Linked DNA regions of Nothobranchius furzeri. The protein of the gene in region 1 purifies or fractionates together with the protein of each later gene. This does not show direct contact. Links are inferred from orthologs where the notes say so. Each region holds a gene or a part of one and is shown in the gene's direction. Other genes may lie near its edges. The genes, in order: C-Jun-amino-terminal kinase-interacting protein 1, map3k7 and map2k7.

Evidence for each region.
Region 2: the proteins of C-Jun-amino-terminal kinase-interacting protein 1 (region 1) and map3k7 purify together in Homo sapiens (pull-down; 3 studies listed by BioGRID and IntAct, with this or other methods). This does not show direct contact. The link is inferred for Nothobranchius furzeri from reciprocal best matches to the Homo sapiens genes MAPK8IP1 and MAP3K7.
Region 3: the proteins of C-Jun-amino-terminal kinase-interacting protein 1 (region 1) and map2k7 purify together in Homo sapiens (affinity purification with western blotting; 3 studies listed by BioGRID and IntAct, with this or other methods). This does not show direct contact. The link is inferred for Nothobranchius furzeri from reciprocal best matches to the Homo sapiens genes MAPK8IP1 and MAP2K7.

The regions. Positions count from the first base shown.
Region 1 is NC_091749.1:49,782,178-49,788,630, forward strand, and holds part of C-Jun-amino-terminal kinase-interacting protein 1, read left to right. Parts: intron 1-853; coding exon 854-1,026; intron 1,027-2,433; coding exon 2,434-2,537; intron 2,538-2,623; coding exon 2,624-2,740; intron 2,741-6,453. UniProt on the Homo sapiens protein: The JNK-interacting protein (JIP) group of scaffold proteins selectively mediates JNK signaling by aggregating specific components of the MAPK cascade to form a functional JNK signaling module. Required for JNK activation in response to excitotoxic stress.
Region 2 is NC_091743.1:91,283,191-91,289,743, forward strand, and holds the start of map3k7 (mitogen-activated protein kinase kinase kinase 7), read left to right. Parts: upstream 1-1,312; 5' UTR 1,313-1,525; intron 1,526-1,890; 5' UTR 1,891-1,913; coding exon 1,914-2,006; intron 2,007-2,093; coding exon 2,094-2,204; intron 2,205-5,684; coding exon 5,685-5,750; intron 5,751-5,824; coding exon 5,825-5,870; intron 5,871-6,553. UniProt on the Homo sapiens protein: Serine/threonine kinase which acts as an essential component of the MAP kinase signal transduction pathway. Plays an important role in the cascades of cellular responses evoked by changes in the environment.
Region 3 is NC_091747.1:73,509,118-73,515,612, forward strand, and holds the start of map2k7 (dual specificity mitogen-activated protein kinase kinase 7), read left to right. Parts: upstream 1-1,774; 5' UTR 1,775-1,846; coding exon 1,847-1,970; intron 1,971-6,495. UniProt on the Homo sapiens protein: Dual specificity protein kinase which acts as an essential component of the MAP kinase signal transduction pathway. Essential component of the stress-activated protein kinase/c-Jun N-terminal kinase (SAP/JNK) signaling pathway.

The DNA.
Region 1 (6,453 bases):
GTTTTCCTCTAATTCTTAAAGTTTTTGTTCAAAATTAACCTTTTTTTAAATCCAAAACAGTTAACTCATTCACTGCCAGCCGTTTCCTGATCGCTAAAGGCCTTCACTGCCAGCGTTTCTCACCGTTTTCACTGTTTTTTTAAGAGTCACTGAACGTTGCGCGCTAGGATGATGTTGACGCCAAAACAACCAAAACAAAGCGGAGCCTCACCTCTTACATCAGGAATAATCGGCGTGTTTCGAGTGTTATCTGTTCTTTCATAATCCGTTGTCGAATTGTGATCGGCAGAAGCTTTTCCGGTTCGCACCTCACTTTTTTCAAAGGAACGGCCCAAAACGATCTCCTAACACATGGAATTTCTGCTTCCTAATCATGTGACGTGTGACGTATGTGGATGAAGATAGGCTTCAGAGCTGAGATGTTTGTTCTCACTGTGCAGGGGCTCGTTCCGATGCCCACACAGTAAAAAAAAAAAAAATGCAAATGATGTCTTTAGTCGTCATTTGCAGTGAACGGTTGGATCTAAAATGATGACTTTAGTCGTCAATGGCAGTGAATGAGTTAATGACATGTTCACCTTCAAAAAATGTTTTATAATAAAAAATAACCATCTGATATCATCAAATCTCAATTTTAAATAGCAGAGAACATTAAAGATTGACAGAAATAGTGATTAGTTTTATGTCAGGATATATATATATATATATCGATTTCGACCAAATTATTTTCCATATTGCCTAGCCCCAAGACCAGATTCTCATGAAGTTTCTTCATGAGGGTTCATAGCGAAAAGACCCACCACTTTAACTCTAATTAGATAATTACTTTGAAAATTTTAACTCCTCTCACCAGATTTGTGCCTCGACATGATGATGAACTGGAGTTGGAGGTGGACGACCCTTTGTTTGTGGAGGTCCAAGGGGAGGACTACTGGTATGAGGGCTACAACATGCGGACTTATGCTCGTGGGATCTTCCCTGCCTACTACGCCATAGAGGTCACCAAGGACACTGAGAGCTGTGAAGGTACTGATAAATGTACAAGTTCAAGACACTGTTAAAACTGTCCACAAATTTGCTGAAAAAGATCCACTTTCTGACTACAAGTGTGTTTGTTTTGGTTTGAATTTGAGTTGAAATCATATGAAGTGCTTTCCTGATTGCAAGTGTTTCTTACAGTTTCAGCTTTTGAAAAGAAAAAAAAAGACATGTAAGAGCCCTAAAAGTTTGTTTGATCAAAAACAAACTCCAGAATGAAAGTTCCTGAAAGGGCATTTTCATTTTCATAGACAGTCAAAATGCAACTTTTTTTAAAACTTCTCATATTCACACCTCAGACTTGCCTCTAGTCTAACCTAATACCATGTCAGGATGCTAATACCGTCTCTGTTCACACATGATTTTCTGGAATTTGTGATAAAGATTCTACAAAATTCAGTGGCTGAAGTACAATCATCCCTGCCTCTTGCTTATTGTTTGCACATACCATGCAAGTAGTAATCACACACAGGAGGCTTTCCTGATTTATTTTTATTTTTATTTGTTGTTGCGGTGGATGTTCATATAGACTGGAGATGCTCCAATCCGATCATGTGATCAGAAATCGGGAGAAAAAAAACGGATTTAATCTTTTAAAAACAACAAAACATGACTTTTTAAATGCATCCTGAGATAGAGGTTTTCAAATTGAATGAAAATGGCTTAGTTCAAATTTCAATACGTCCCTCTACATCAATAATATTAGTTTCTTATACGAACAACACAGTAATGTCAAACAACTTACGGCAGGCAAGGACTCAGACACCAAGTGCCGCTGTTAGATAGCCTGCTAACGTAGAGCTAACGTGTCTCCTCAGGAGAGCTAAAACATCTGCAGCTTGGTTGTATTTAAACCGGACAGCAAAGGCAGAGCTACAGACACTTGTATGTGTGCATACCGAGCATTCAATATGCTGAAAAGGGCAGCTCCATGAGTTGCTGCCTTCAAACAAGCTAATTTCTCTGTCAGCTTTTCCCTTCGGGCATCAACAAAGGAAATTACTGGTCTCCATTAATCCCTAGATTACCTCTAACAGTCGCAGTTCACAGTGAAGTCAGACAAAAACTCGGAGCCAGCTGACAGAGAAAGTTACGCTAATGAACTAAGAGAAATTAGCACCTTGAATGTTTTTGTTTTTTATTGTACAATGCTGGCAGGCAAAAACACTGTCCAGCTGCTATCCTGACCTGTCGCATTTTTTTAGAATATTTTTTGTTCACTAGTTCTTGTTTGTTTGCTTGTCAATTTGGTTCTGTGCAAGATCTGCCCCTTAATTGGTTAATGCTATGTTTAGTTGCTTTGTCAAAGTCTAGTCCTAATTTATTTTATTTTTAATATGTATATCCATTTCTTAGTATTGTAAACAAAACCATTTTCTTCACTTGTCCTTGCAGTGAAGAGTAGTGAATGGATGGACACATATCGCCTGAAGTTTCTGGGATCAGTCCAAGTGCCCTACCACAAAGGAAACGACGTTTTATGTGCAGCTATGCAGAAGGTAGACACCCTGTGTTTTGCACATTTGGATGTCCATATCTTTCTAACTTCATGTTTTAGTCATCATATTTTTCTTATTTCTTCCAGATCGCTATCAACAGAAAGATGACAGTCAAGTATAACCCGCCTTCCTCCTGCATCCTAGAAATTAGTGTTAAAGGCATCAAACTGGCAGTTCAAGAGGACTACTACACCTGTGATAGAGTAAGAACCGACAGCTCGCATCTCACCTGGATGAGATGGTTGATGACTAGCTGAAAACACAAATTTGAATTGAATTGGTTTGTAAAACACTTTTGTGACATGTTTTATGCATGGCCAGGTGGAGTCATTGATGTCATTTTGAACAAGTCCCACTGCAGCGGTGCAGAAAAAACTATCGGATTAGATTTGTGCCAATAGGATCAAGAAAAAGACTTTGAAGATCAAACAAATATTAAGACATGGAGAGAAAAAAATTGTTTCAAAAGAAAAACTTACAATCTGAATCAGCTTCTTAAAATGATCAAGAAAAACACTTTGATGGTCAAACAAAATTTAAGAAATTGACAGAACAAAAATATTGACTAAAGGAAAAAAAATGTTTCAAAAGTAAAACTTACTATCTGAATCAACTTCTTAAAATGAGTAACAAAGTATGTTTCCTTTTTCTGTTTGCCTCTATGTGTTTTTGTTATCAGTTTCCTTAGTTTCGTTCTCGCTGCTCAGAGCTTTGCTCTCACTACCAGATTTGCACTTACACTTTCTGGCTTTCTCCTTTGCAATCCCTGAGTTTTTGGTTGCAATTCTGACACAACCCTGTCGGGTGGGTGGGACTTCTGAGAAGTCCTCTCCCATAGGACAGTGGTTTCTCTTGAGTGAAAGTTCAGTGACCCAGAAGTGATGTAACCTCCAAGACATTTTTTTCCCACCTCGGTCAACAACATGAATTTTGAGCCCCAAACACATTATTTCTGCTGTCTGTGGTGTCTACTAAGGATCTAAAGTGAGTATTGATAATATATTTTATCTTTTCTTAGTTAATCTTTAAGTTAAGCCACTTTTTAAGTTGGTTTTAACCAGACGTTAGCTCACTAGCTAGCTGCTAAGCAAGCCATTGTGCTAGCCTCAGGACAATGGTCTATTGTTCCAGAGAGACGTATTAAAAACTCATCTTAACATTTTCATTTTTATTCCATGTTACTTGGACGGGCTATACAAGTTCACAGTTCTGCCTGCTCCTTTTTCAGTGAAACAAATGGATTATATGATGTAACTCTGACTGAATAATTATCTAATTGAGTATGTTTGATAATAATGTTCTTACCACTATACAGATCTGACATTTGTTTGTCAGAACAGGACAAATCAGATTCAATGTGCTTTCTGTCAAGTGTTCTGTATTCTCCATCAAAAGAATGAGTTAAATACATGCTTTTAAATATTAAATTTTTACATAAAATCTATATTTTTGTCTAAAAGCTATTTCTTTTGTTGTTTGGGTTTTTTTCTTTCTTTTTAGATATAAAACTACTGCATTGCATTACAATGGAAGTGCTACATGGCCACATGTGTCAACTGCAGCTGGTGGGCTAAGACACACATAGTGTACACAAAGTACACTGCAGACAAGGGATGTAAGAAAATATCAATATGACAATATATCACAATATATTTTCTCAGTGATATTGTATCGATATTCTCAAACTGTGTCTCTAAAATATCGATATGCAATATATCGTGATATTTTTTCCTGAGATATTACATCCATTTTCAAAAGCAGTGTATCTCATTTTTGGAAGAATTTACATACAAACATTAGTGTATTTTCTTTGTTTTTGGTGCACTTTAAATGTCGACTGCTAGTTGGCAGCAGTATGCATTGGGTTTTGTTTCCACCATTGAAATTTAAATCCCGCTATTATGGTTCAGATAACTCATGTTAAACATGTTAAGTATCAGTTTGGACTGTTTATTGAATATTCCTACAATAAATTCAGTCAAAAATACACATCCCTACTGCAGACCAATCCCACCTCATGTATTTCATAGGCTGTAAAATAAACCCACAGTGAAAGTTATGGATAAATATCTGTACTAATGGTAATCTTTTTCCATTGTTTCCAGTTGACAAGCATATGGACCTATTGTTCGAGTCTGTGGTGGTGGATGCTCTACCATATCAGGAGTCTAAGTACCTGTGCCTGAACCTCTCTGTGTCTAGTTCAAAAGACCTGAAAGACCTGCTGTAAGCAGGCACAGGTTAAGATTTTAAAAGAACCTGTAAGGTGAGCAACACAACAGAATATAAATCTTTATTATTATTGTACGCTGTACAGCTAGAGTAAACTTGCATGCTCAGAAGCCACATATGATTACATCGCCTACAGGTTGCCTGATGCTGAACTTCAGGCAGCTGCGTGTGACTGTACTCCCGTGGAACAACCACCTGTCAGGAGTTTGGGTCGGAGTCCTGGGTTTGTGTTCCCTTTAATCTCTTCATTAGCCTTGCTAGTCACCATTGCAGAGCACCATGGAGAGGCTTACCTGAAAACTCTTCTCATGGGGCAGGCACATCCTCACACACCTGTAACCCCATCCTTGAATAAAAGCTGGTAGCTGGTCACTCATCAGAGTGTTTTAACCCATATCTAGCCCATGACTCTGCCGTTTTTCAAACTTACATTCTCATTTTCTATGCAGATCTATGGAAATTATTTCCTTGAAGCTCCTGATCACACAACCATACTGGCAGTCGGCTTACCCACTACCTTCTGCTCACCTGCTTGCAACTCATGCTGTCATTCTCCCAGACTTCTGGTTGTTTCTCCACCATTCTGCTGTCTCCCGTCTGCGCTACAACTTCAGACCGTAAGTACCTAAACGTTTCCTTTTGTAAGTCATTCTTTAGTCATTACTAACACTCAATTTTACCTCAGGGCCTTCTGATCTTTAAACACTAAAACCTGTTGCTCCATCTCTGTGGCGTTTCTCAGTCTCTGTAAGCTACCTGCACAGTCTAAAAAAAACCTGACCTGTTGACTCTTACTAACCTCTGCTCTTCCTTGCAGAAGCTTCTGGTTCCTGATCTCCAGCAGTTACCTCTTCAGTCATCCGTCAAACATTTAAATAAACTGTTTTTAGCTCATTTGTCTCCTGAGTTTCTCTGCATGAAGGTCAGTTTATTGCAAAAGTCATGACATTAGCAATTATTTTGTCCCACTCTGTTAAACAGCTGATGTTAATTTCAAGTGTATCTTTAAAAATACATTGAATGTCAATGTGAATGAAAGGCATCCATTCAGCTTTCAGTGTCTAATGCAGGATTTTATGGACAGGCACCAAAACATGAAATTTATAAATTGAGATTTATTTACTAAATCAGGTAAACCATAATAAAATACTAATGTTTAAAGTCCAGAGGAGGGAGGAAGGCTTTATAGCAGGGGTATTCAATTCTAGTCCTGGATGGCTGGTATCCAGCACGTTTTAGTTGTTTCCCTGCTCCAACACACTTGAATCAGTGGTTGAATTACCTGTGCAGCAGCTCTGCAGAAGCCTGTTAATTATCTGCTGACTGAAATCAGGTGTGTTGAAACAGAGTTAAAACTTAAATGTGCTGGATACCGGCCCTCCAGGCCCAGAAGTAAATACCCCTGCTTTATAGGCACAGAGAACTCCCATCATGATCCTGGAGACGGCACAAGGAGAAGACGATATGAGTGTGCCCTCCCAGATCACACCAACACCACCTGACCACACGGAGGCATGTGTCTGTAAGAAACAAAAACTGGTGATGTATGAGTTCTAAACAAAAAGTATGAACACAATCAATTTTACAGTTGTTTAACCTGCTGAGCATTGTCTCCCCAAAGAGCTGCACAAAGGTGCAACTGGCTCAGAACCAGGGTGCTCCGTTATGCAGGTGGTCACCCCCT
Region 2 (6,553 bases), on another chromosome or scaffold:
CACTTGTTACACTGTTGTCTCATGAACTACTTAGCTCCAAATTCAAGCTGACTGTTAAGGAACAATATCAGGTTATAAAAGCAATTCCAAGTCCTGTCTTGTCAATCTCCTCCAATTTACATCACAATAACATTAGTCCAAAGCTCCCTGGACTTATGCTTAATGGATGTTCTATTACTGACAAAAAGTTATCCAATATTGTAGTAAGACAGTTATTTAGTCAACTGCATCCATTCTTAGCCAACAGATCATTAGCTTCTCACCTACAATCTTATGAAATAGAAAAAAAAGCAAGGAGTTTTTTTTCAAGCTTCCAGTTGCTCCAAAGATAAAAGAGATGCTGTTTAAAATTATTAATAGCATTTATCCATCTGGAGAGCTTTTGAGACATCGATTTAACTTGGAACATAATGGCTGCTCATTTTGTAATGCAGACAGAAACCACTGAGCATCTGCTTTTTGACTGAATTTGTAAAGACTTTTTGGAGTGAATTAGAGAATTGGTTGGCTTTGAGGCTATGTAATCCACCAAAACTTTCTAAAAAAACGTGTTAATCGGTTGTTTTACAACCAAGGACAATATTTATATTGCTTTAAATGTTATAATTATCCATGGATGTTATATACACAAATGCCGTTATGCTAAAACCTACCCTAATTTCATTGCATTTTATAAAGAATTAGTACATTACTTCTCTTTTTTGAAATCCATGAAAGGCTCCAAAGCCTAAGAAATACAAACTAAATGCTAACCCCTAGCACATTTATTGAATGATGTTTTGCACTTTAATAGTTGTTTTACTGTCATTTTGTCTATTTCATTTAATTTGTATTTTATTTATATTATGTTTGTTTATTATTTATTTACTTTTCCTCAGTTTATTTCTCTTGTCTGCTTGTATTTCCAGTTAAGAAGGGAATATTGTAATGTGCCATGTTTTGTTGATTAATAAACAGATTTTAAAAAATCATCCAAGGATCATGCACGTTTTGACTGTAGGGCCTTTGGTTAGGGAGCCGGTAGCTGAAACGCATTGACCTTCGCAATAGCGCCACCTAGAGTTTTGTGGGTATGAATTTTGGAATCATAGTAGCAGTCAGGTTTTTCTATCAGACTGCCATGTTACATTTTTTCTGGCATTTTCAGGCTCCTGCAGCCATATAGAATTAGCGGAAAAGAATAATGAATAACAATAAATAATGAAAAATCCGTTGAAAAACAACAGGGTTCCCTGCCCGTTGTCGCTTCATGCTGTTGTGATTTTCCTGTGCTGTAATGAGCGCATCCTCCTGGTGGAGCTGCTGTGCTTCCGCGAAGAAAAACAGTCGGAGGAAGCCAGCTAGACGAGCCGAGGGAAAGTTATGGACAGACGTTTTCTAAAGATGGACGTTATTCTTCGGCTTCCCGTGCAGAAATAGTAGGAGCTATCCCCATGTCTACGGAGCCGGCCTCGGTAACATCTACGAGAAAGGGCTGGATTTAAGCCCCGGCAGCTACGTTTAGCAACCAGGCTCGGAAGCTAATGTAAGCAAGCTAATTCACACCGTAGGCCTTGATAACTAAATTGTTTTGTTTAAGTGTCATGTTGTTTGTGCATTTCTCTTATTAACACCGTACTGATGCTCCAGGACTTGTTATCCAGCCTTCTGTGCAACTTAAAGCACGTTGTAGCCTTTGGTTGGTGGTTTTGTTGCAGCTGTGCTAGTTTTAGCTCTGCTGGCTAGCCAGCTGATGGAAGCTAGCGTGCTGTTTACCATGTTTGACAGCTCGCAAAAGGAATGTGGAGCGAAACGCAGTTCCGGTACATCAGTGCGTTCATTTTTTGTTTTTGTTTTTCTGATTGGTATTGACACGTTTCCGTTGTCCACTGTCTTCTTTTCTCTGATTAGTTACTAGCTTGTTTTAGCTAGTAATGTCTCAGACGCTACCACCTTCCGATATGCTGGAAACGCCACCTGGATATCCATTTGAAGAGATCAATTATGAGGATATTGAAGTGGAGGAGGTGAGTTATGTTTGGTCCGTGTGGCCATGGATGAGGGTGTTAACGGAGTTGTCCTAAACGTGATCGCCTGTATCTGTCCCTGTGAAGGTGGTGGGCAGAGGTGCGTTCGGGGTGGTCTGCAAAGCCAAGTGGAAAGGCAAAGATGTTGCAATCAAGACCATCGAGAGTGAGTCGGAGAGGAAAGCCTTTATTGTTGAGGTACTGTTACTCTATTATTATTGTTGTTGTTATTGTTATTATTGTTGTTATTATTGGTGCAGAGTCGACCAGGTCCACTGATGCACCAAGATGTGACTGCTGGTTTGGTGTTAGTGGCAAATGTCTGACACATCATACAGCTCTCAGCCATAAGATAATGACCACCTGTATGGTCTGAGTAAATCCTGCTTTTCTACTAGAGCACTGCAGACGTTAGAGGCCTGAACAGTGACATCACTAGACGTTTGTTTCTGGAGGATGTTGTGAGGCGAGGCCTTCATGGATGGGTTGATTTGGATGTGAAGACTCTAAAAACATCCATAAACATCTCTAACCACTTCTGTTAGGTCACCTGGTTCTTGTTCTTCTGCAGGCTTTTCCTCTTAACTCTTTCACTGCCATTGACGACTAAAGTCGTCATTTGCATTTTTTTTACTGTGTAGGCATCGGAACGAGCCCCTGCGCCGAAAGAACAAACATCTCAGCTCTGAAGCCGATCTTCATTCGCATACGTCACACGTCACATGATCAGGACGGAGAAAATCCATGTGTTAGGAGATTGCTTTGGGCCATTCCTGTAAAAAAAAAAAGTGAGGCGCGAACCGGAAAAGCGTCTGCCCATCACAGTTCGACAACGAGTTATGAAAGAACGGATAACGCTCGAAACGTGCAGATTCTTCCTGATGTAAGAGATGAGTCTCATCTTTGTTTTGGTTGTTTTGGCATCGACATCATCCTAGCGCGCAACGTTCTGTCACTCTTAAAAAACAGTAAAAACGGTGAGAAACGCTGGCAGCGAAGGCCGTTAACGATCAGGAAACGGCTGGCAGTGAATGAGTTAAAGGGAAGTGTCCCCTCTTCTCTTACACCATACTGAAGTGTAATCAGTGTAATCTGCCCATTTCGTTCTTTACTGTGCACTAAAATATCTGAGATTGAGTCATATAAAACTTTCAGATCAAAAAGCTAATTTCAAAGTCTGATAAGGATAACCTGAGTCAATAAAATGTTTTTTTCTGATGGTTTCATTATTAGAGGAACAGAGCTATCCCGACCACCCCGGTCCGGCGTGATAAAACAAACCTCACAAGTAGCAAACACCCCCGGTGTCACATCAGATGATTTGGATCCAAGGATTCAGCCAATACTCAGAAAGGTCAAAATACAAATGTATGTAAAGCAAATTAAATAAATCAGGAATGGTTTTAAGATTAACTTGGTTTGACACAACAGATATAGCTTAGCTTGACGACTAGACCACGACTAGATTAGAATTCATGTTGGACTCCCTTGACTGAGACCTGCTGATTCTGGCCTGGTTCGTAGCGAGTTAGTGGGCTGATCTGGCACTCACCAATAGCTGCAGGGAGCTTTTATCACCGTAATACAGATGGAAATATCAAGATGTCTCAGGTGAGCTTCGATGAGGTGAGTGCAGAGAGATCAGGAACTGAAGTCCTGACACTAAGAGGCTCCACCTGGGTCCGGTGTCTGTGATAACTCCTATTGAGTCTCATGCCAAGCCAACTTTATTTGTGTACAACCTTAAACAATAACAGTAAAAACAATAAAAATGCATAAAAACTAAAACTTGAGGACTAAAAGTAAAAGACTCATGCTAAGTTAAAAGTGGGTTTTCTAGAGATTTCTGTCACCTCTAAACTGGCGTCTCGTTGTCGGGACTTCCAGGAGCTTCCTATCAGCCGACCTCAGACCGTGCAGGGGAGTTAAAAACCAGTAGCTCAGAGAGGTCATCTGGAGCAAGGCCGTAAAGATTTAAAAGCCCATAAAAGCACCTTGTACTGGATTCAAAAACAAGCAGGTAGCCAGTGCAGTGAGGCCAGGACAGGAGTAACGTGCACCGTCATTTTCGTCCCATCGATAAGCCGTGCAGCAGCATCCTGCACCAACTGAAGACGCCAGAGGTGGGATTGTGAAACACCAAACTCTCAGTGTGTTCACATGCGCGTCAGAAAACTGAACTTTTGCCCTAAGTAGACTGACGTTGTTGATTTTTAAACTCATGTAAACTTGTAAGTCTCGTTGAACGTGAACTGGTTCTAGTCGTCCTGAAGCACCCAGATAATGTAGTGGGAGCCCAACTTCATCTGTGTGTAAGCGCCTCCATCGAGCTGATGACGGTAACTTTCAGACTTGACGAGACGCAGAAGAGGTCTTCTGATATCATCGCCACAAAGTCGCACGTGTAACAGCATCACAGATCAGCTGTGCCGCAGCGTTGTTGTCCATTCGGCCATTGTTCATATCCTGTTTTAACTCTGTCTGCTTCACTCCCACCAGCGTTTGTTTGCTATTTGTGTTGCTATAAGTTAACCGGAAGAACGCCTACACAATAGGGCGCATGTCGCCTCCAACTGTACCGGAACGGTACTAACGTCTTTACGGGGGTTGGTTTTCTAACGTACAGGTAAACTAGGAGAAAGGCTCCCAGTTTATTTTAGATCCATTCAGATGTGCGTGTAAACACGCTGAGTGGTACATCAGAGGGGTTTCCAGCAGGAACGGCCTGTTTAAGGTCAAAGGTCAGACGTTCTCTTTCAGGATGCTCTGCCAGAGCATGGTTCCAGCAGGTCCTTTGTGTTCTTCCTCACTTGACTCATGACCTCTGACCTTAACATTAGCCAAGTGACACCTGTAGGTAGGATGGGCCCAACATCTATAAATCGTGATATAATTTAAAGCACGTGCGGTAACACGACGTATTCTTTTCATTAGTTTATTTGTCCAAATAACCTTTCTGAACAATCTCTCACACCAGATGAGCGGCACCAGAACAAGTGCTGATGAAAAGGACAGAATGCCACTTAAAAACCGTTTAACGTGACAAAACGTCTCAAATGACTTTTATGTTCTTAAGGTTCTTTTTTCAAACTTTTCATCACAAATATTCTCATGACGTGAATAAAGATGAAGATATTTTAATGAAAAATGTAAAAACACAAATAAAATTTCTTTCTGATTAATTTAATAATTTTCAGGTTTTCTTTTGCTCATAGAAGTTTAGTGTTAGTCGTTAATAACTGCAGCTAAAACGATGCTTTGCAGCAGTTCTTTTTTGTTTGTAAAAGAGAACCCAAACCAGGTCCGTATAACCAACATAACTCCATCTTCCCAACGAGCACGCCTTCCTCCGTGCGCTGTGGCAAGCTGACACAGCATGATGATATTTACGCGCCGTCACTGTCGGACGGTAGAGTCAGCAGCTCTGCCCGCGGTTATTGTATCATATCGACCGGGTACACCATGCATCACTAGCTCTAAGGTGTTGTTGTTTTTGGTAGGCAGACATTCAGGTCCGTGAGCTCGCCCATGGAGGGTGTTTCATCGGTCTCTCACTCATTCACATCATGACTTTCATCAGAGTCAGAATGTTCCTGTTGGCTCGGTGCCGCTGGGAGGAGCCCTGCTGTTGTATCAGCAGTGAAAGTGTCACACTCATTTCATGCTTTTTCTTTGCAGCTGAGACAGCTTTCTCGTGTGAACCACCCAAACATCGTGAAGTTGTACGGCTCCTGTAAAAACCCGGTAAGAAGGGTGAAATGTTTTTGTTAGTTTCATAAAGTTTCAGAGGTTTATTCCTGGTTCTCTTCCACATTTAGGTCTGTCTTGTGATGGAATACGCAGAAGGAGGATCCTTGTACAATGGTGAGTCCAGATTCAGAACCAGAGAGCGGTTGTGTGTTCTAGGTGACCATGAGCACAGCCTGTCACACACATGAAGGCTGCCCCTAGCTGGTTAACATCTCTCTGCATCACCAGCAGTCCTTCTACCGATGTCTCACTCTCCTCTGATATACTGGTGCTACAGATGGAATATGGCTGCAGCTAGCATGCTGCTGCTCCGTCTCTCTCGTGTCTCTGCCTGTCGGAGGTCATCACATTCAATTCAATTCAAGTTTATTTATAAAGCGCCAAATCACGACAAGTCGTTTCAAGGGCCTTCACATAGTAAACATCCCAGTACAGGTCAGGTCATTAAGCCAATCAGTAACAAGTTTCCTATATAAGGAACCCAGCAGGTCGCATCGAGTCACTGACTAGTGTCAGAGTCTTTACAGCAATCCTCATACTAAGCAAGCATGCAGCGACAGTGGAGAGGAAAACTCCCTTTTAACAGGAAGAAACCTCCAGAGGATCCTGGCTCAGTATAAGCAGCCATCCTCCATCCATGTATGATGGAGCTTGATTATTAAGAGCTTTATATGTGAGAAGAAGGGTCTTAAAATCTATTCTGAATTTAACAGCTAGCCAATGTAGGGAAGCTAAGACAGGAGAGATATGATCTCTCTTTTTAATCCTCATCAGAACTCTAGCTGCAGCATTTTGGA
Region 3 (6,495 bases), on another chromosome or scaffold:
TTATTACTAGTATTTATTTTAATGACTGCTTTGAAGAATTAGTTAAGACAACACTTAACTTCCTTCTGGGATTAATGAAGTCATTTTGGACTTTAGACAGAGAACCTTAGTTCTGTGGAGTCGATGAAGAAACCCAATAATGAACCGGTGACACTGCTGAACTCAAACATATTTGTGATGTTCTCTAACGTGTATTAAATGGGGCTTGTATAAAATCCATTCCACTGCCTGCTGCTCAGCAACAGAGTTTCTCCTCACACGTGTGACAAGAGGTTTTCACTCCACGTTTGCTGGCTGTTTACCTGTGAACCACACCTGGTTTGTTGTTGGGATTTTTGTCCTGTCACACTAGTTCTAACCTTCTTCGTCTTCAGTGGTTTATTAATTTCCTCACCCAAGCTTCTGCTTCCCTGTAAACTCCTCCAAAGATGTGCTTTCTACGCCTGAATAGGACGGGAGATTGGATGCATTGAGGAGCTGAGGGACCAAGCTCTTTTCTTCAGTTAATAAATGATCCAACAAGAATACCAACAATCTAAATGTGTTAAACAACAACCTGCTGTACACATGGACATGTAAAGAAAGGAACTTCACAATAAAAGCTCATTGCAAGAATTTAAACACTTTTATTTGAAGTCATGAGCTCCAAAGATAATTAAGAGAATGTCCATGCCTAGGTCGATTTCATTCATAGAGGAAGGTAGCGGAGGTTACTGCTGCAGCTGCTGCTAGCGTGCAGGCTCCACCATCAAAGACAGCCCGCCTGCAGTACACCTGCAGCAGATGTGGTCAGCCCAAGCGGCTGGACACTGGCCACACATTGCAGGCGTGTCCTACTGGGCATCTGTTGGCGGAAAGTCTGTAGAGGAGTGGAGGGAGGAGATGAAGAATAACATTAGAGGGAGATTGGATGTGTTGAGGAGCTGAGGGAGCAAGACAGAAAAACTGTCTTCACTTTTTTGGATTTTTCTTTTTAAAGACTTTTTGAGACTTTTTCTTTTATTATATATATATATATATATATATATATATATATATATATATATATATATATATATATATATATATATATAAACGAAAACACTTTAAATCTTTGAATGTTTTTATGATCCTGGACACAGATACATTTATTACATGTGTTTTATAACATCACAAATATATTTCAACACAGATGCATTTTTTCATATATATTCTATAATTTTACGTGTCTATTATCACAAATATATTTCACAGCTCAGTGGTTCTTCATCACAATTATAATTAAATTTAAAGTGGTAATAGTGAAAAATTATTTACATAATAATTAGTTTTATCAGATTTCGCATACATTAATACTTTTATATTCGCACTGAGCGGGAATCGAACCTACGCACTTCGACTCCCGGACAAAACAGTTAAAAAAAAACGAGAAGATCCGTTGTTTGTCAAAGCTTTTTTTTTTTGTTTGTTTGTTTTTGGCTCCTGGTTTTTTATTTAGTTTTTTGTTTAAAAGCAATCGGTTTTGCTTCACCATCTTATTAATGTAAACCTTTGTTAAATTTAGTACGTTTCCTTACTCGTGTTGTACATGCTATATCTTTCAATAAAGTAAAAATAAATAAATAAATAAATAAATAAATAAATAAATAAATAAATAAACCTGCAGCGAGGTTTCCTCTGAAATAGAGAGCCCTTTCAGCCAATCAGACGCGAGAAAGGGAGAAAGGTGGGACCTTCCTGGACATACTACGGTTCCAAATGACGCGCGTGGGAGGAGGCTGTGGTTGCGAGTCTGCGCCTGCGCCTGCCTGCCACTGAGAGGCGTCGCGAGCTCTGCTGGAAACTATACGGTGCTCAATTTTTCAAGATGTCGTCGTTGGAACAGAGGCTGTCGCGAATCGAAGAGAGACTAAAGCAGGAAAATGAAGAAGCTCGCCGGAGAATCGACCTTAACATCGACATGAGCCCGCAGCGATCACGTCCAAGGCCAAGTGAGTGTCCATCGGGGCGGACCGGTGTGTTGGTAACGGCTAGAATAGCAGGAAAGGTCTGAGAAGGGGTGGGCTACCAGATGCATGCTAACTGGCTAGCTACGTAAACAAACATCGGCTGACCTCGGTTATACTACCAAAAATCCAACTTAATAAGTGGAACAGCTCATGTGGGGAGAAATGTTGAGCAGAGTTCAAACCCGGATGCAATGTTATACTAGTTGTCGGTGACTATGTCATTTCGAAATATGTTCATTTCAGTCCTGTCAAACATGCTAAGCTAACAAGCTGTACGTTTTGTGATAGTTTGTAGCAGGCCTGGCGTCCGTTAGAAAAATGACTGTTTTATTCATTTTTGATATAAATTTACGGTCGTTTCAATAATGTAATTTTAAAGGAATGTTTGTTCTAAATGTGAGTGGTGTGTTTGGATGTGACTTTTGGGCATAATAAGTCAGGTCACTTATGCTATTTTTAATGTCTCGCGCTTAAGGGTAATTTAAACTGGTTACTTTTATCCTTAACCAACACTGGTTGTGGTTGGAGCGGATGTTAAAGCAACAATCAAACAGAAATTCTGAACAGGTTGTCTGTTTTTTAGAAATTTGTGAGTTTGGTCAAACGTTTTAATAGTTATGTTGCTCTTTTTGAGGTTGTCTTGTAATTAACCTGTTATGATTAAATGTTAGGTCTTTCTCGTAGCTTTACTGCATCTGTTTGGTTAAGATTTGTTAGTGTAAATGTGTCAGAAAGGCATACGAACTTGACTTGACAGGAGATGCTGTAATTATGGGCCATAGAGGGAAAATCTCTACAGAAATGCTACGCTTGCTACAGCTTCGTGACATGTAACAACGAGACCCTCATTGCTGTAGTAAATAACAAAAAGCTCCATATTGACTGCTGTAAGTTTGCTATTGAGTGATAGCTTAAAAATCTTTCATTATTACTGAATAGCATTGTTTTGAGCCATTATACCTACCTTTTCTAATAGTTTTCTTTTGTTGAGAGAACAGTGGTCGTTTGATCCAGCTAACAAGTGCTGATGAAGGTCATTTGACTGTCACAGATGCTTCAAAAATTTACAGATGAGAAATGCATCAGGTCCAAATAACTCAGATTTGTTGGAGCCATGATACTGCTCACAATTATGCAGAATAATCATTTAAATGAGATAAAGATTGACCTTTGTTTAATCATAATATTTCCATAAGACACAACAGAGTTCATTATTTTGCCCAAGGACACTTTGTCTTGTGGAGAAACTGTAATTATACTACCAGCTCTCAGATTGGAAGTTGACCGCTCTACCAGCCGAGCCGCAGCTGTCTCAGACAGGGCAGTAACATGTTTCACATCCTGAGACCTCTGACTTTAAAAAAATCTCCTCTTGGTTTACCAGCTGGTGTTGAGCAAATAAGCTTGTAACTGAATATTTGGTGTGGAGAACTAAAAGGTCAGACATCAAATGCAACTTGACTTCATCGAGCTCTAAAAGTGAGAATATTTAAATCTTTTTTTTAATCTTTTTTATACTTTGTTTGGTTTTTTATTTATTGTTTTGTTTGTTTGTGAAGCGCCTCACGATTTTTATCTCAAGATGCTGTTTTTAAAAGAATGTTTTTTCTTTCTAACATTTTTATAGCAAAGAGATCAAAATGGATGTAATAGGGAGCCTAATGGGCCATTCCCATCTGTACCGGGTAGTCCCAGTCGGCCCCAGCCTGGCCCGGTTGATTCCACACATCCTTGCCTTAAGCCCATGTGGGCTGATTCTACCCACCAATCAGAGGCTTGCTCTAATGGAAGGTGTGAATTTGCTGTCAGCAGTGGGTGTGTTGGCCCTGGTCGGCCTGAATCAGACCCCTCGAGAAGAGGGCTGAGAATGAGCCTTGGTTTGCCCGGGAAAATACCAGGCCACCCAGATATGTAAACAACCTACGCTGCCTGGGCCGACCCGGTACAGATGGGAATGGCCCATAAGTCTCCTCCTTGTCCGGTTAGCTCATGGGTCCCTTGAAGAATGAAAAAATGAATGCAAATGAACAGAGGTAAAAGAACTATTTTCTAATCCGCTTTGCCTTACGCCCTGGATCACACACATGTTGCACTTCAATTTAAATGAACACTATAGGTGTTTCAACCAGCTTGTAAAAGTTTGTGATTATTATGATTACAAAAAATATGTTGGCACGTCACATAGATGACATCATCACAGGATCTCCTCTGCCCCAGCATAGCCGTTACTTACCCCATGGTCAGATTTCTGGTGAATTTCTTTCCTCCTGAAAGAAAGATTTGAAGTTCACTGAACTATAGGGCTGTCACAAACAACTCTTTTATAGTCGACTGATCGTGTCATGCATTAAAGTTTAGGTTTTTGCACCAGGATGCTCTTAATATACCCATTGTTAGCTTCTAGTTTGAAGTGTGATCAGCTGTGTGGCATCTAATGATAAAGACAAGATGATAACTTATCAAACAACTTTTAATTAACTTTGTAACCTATTAATACAAATGCTATAGTCAAATGGAGGTAGGCACCTAAAACCAAAAATAAATTGTACTCAAAAATGACTTGTGTTCACAAAAGGCATGGTGACAAGGGTGAAGCGCTTCGTCTTCTAATCTTAACTCAGGAAATGGCAGGACACACCAAGGTATGCCTCTGTAGCACGGCTGGTCCGCGTCAGCAGTCAGGGGACCATCGTCAGCTCTGAGGGTCTGCTTTACCGTAAAGATTAAAGTTAGTTTATTTACCAGATTAATAATTCTGTTATGTCAGAGGTGAACTCACCGATGCAATTCTTTGTTCATGCGCCTCGAAGCTGAAGGCGGCATCTGACCTGGATGGCGACCATTATGCATGTGCGTTGAGCAGAGAGGCAGGAAGCAACTGCCGAACGTGCTGCAGCAGGCGATATTTAAAAAAGTATTTATAGAATAAACGACACATCAACTATTAAATTAATAGTCAACTAATTTGTTTGTCGATGTCGTGACGAGTCGACTAATCGTGGCAGCCCTACTTTTGAGCTTTGTTGCGTGAGCATCATGGTGTCTTTTTTTTCTCCGGTGGTTCTGATTCAAAGGCTGATCTGGATGGCGAATACTGCGCATGAGCCTCAAGCAGAAAAGCAGAAGGTGCTGCAGCAGGCAAAATTTTTAAGCTCATATAATAAATAATGTGTCGACTATGAAATTTATTGTCGACTTTTTTGTTTGTCAGCATCATTGTGACGCGTCGACTAATCGTGGCAGCACTGGTCTTCAGCAGGAAGCATAAAGTGCTCTAAAACTTCTTGCTAGTCGGCTGCGTGGACCTCAGAAAACACAGTGGACCAACACCAGCAGATGACATGGCACCCCAAACCATCACTGACTGTTTCATTGTGGAGGATTTGCGCACGTTCCGCTGCTGTTTCTCACCAGCATCAGCTGATGGAGGGCTCTAGTTTCGTTGCGCCGTTCGTGTCAGCGGACATGGGAGGGGGGTGGGGCATGACGCTTAGTCTGGCGGGCCGCCAGGCTTATAAAGCGCTGGGGGAAACCATCTAAAGGCATTTGCAGGCGTTTTGATTAATTAGCTGATTACCCCGGGTTTCCACGGGAGCCGTCAGCAGCACGTTACTGCAGCAGCACGTCTTGCTCGCGTAAGCTGCTGCTTGGCCCTTCCCACGAGACGCAAAGCAGCAGGGGAGCAGCTGTCACCGACAGAGCACGAAGTCACACGAGTGACTTAGTCAGTAAACACAACAACAAGCAGGAGAAAACTACAACATGGTTTGTGTTTTATGTTCTGTCCGTTTCATAATCACCAATACGGACCTGAAAAACAAAGGAGACCGCTAGCTAGGTGATAACTTCTCACGGGGCCGCACAGTTAGTAACTTTTTTTAAAAGTAAAGCAACTGGAAGGCAGTACGTTCTTTATTCTGAAAATCTCGGGAGCTTCTCCCCATTTCCGCGTTCGATTTCCTGTCTTTCCTTCCCCAAAAATGTCGAACTTGACCCGTTTCAGAGGCGTCGCGCGTAGAAAATAGAACCGGCGCGTAAGGGCCGCGACATGCTGCTCCTGAGACGCGGCCGACTCGCGCTGCCGACGGCTCCAGTGGAAAAGGTTCTGTTGACCACAGCGGTTCCTATCGGCAGCTATGACGTGCTGCTGACGGCTCCTGTGGAAAGCCGGGGTTAGAGTGTGGCGAAACTTTTCATAATTTTCTAATATTCTGAGATACTGAATTTCGGACTTTCATTAGTTGTCAGTTATCAAAGTTAAAGAACTAAACATATGAAATATATCAGTCTGTGTGCAATGAATTAATCTCATACCGGTTTCACTTTTTGAATGGAACTACTAAAAATCAACTTTGTCATGATTTTCTACTTTTATGACCAGCATCTGTCTGAACACAAGGAGGTAAAGGGATGACTTTTCAGCTACGTGTTGTGAATGACTCATCTACTACCCTGTTGAATTAGAAGACTGACTGATGTATAGTAATTGTTGTGTTAGCTAATGTCA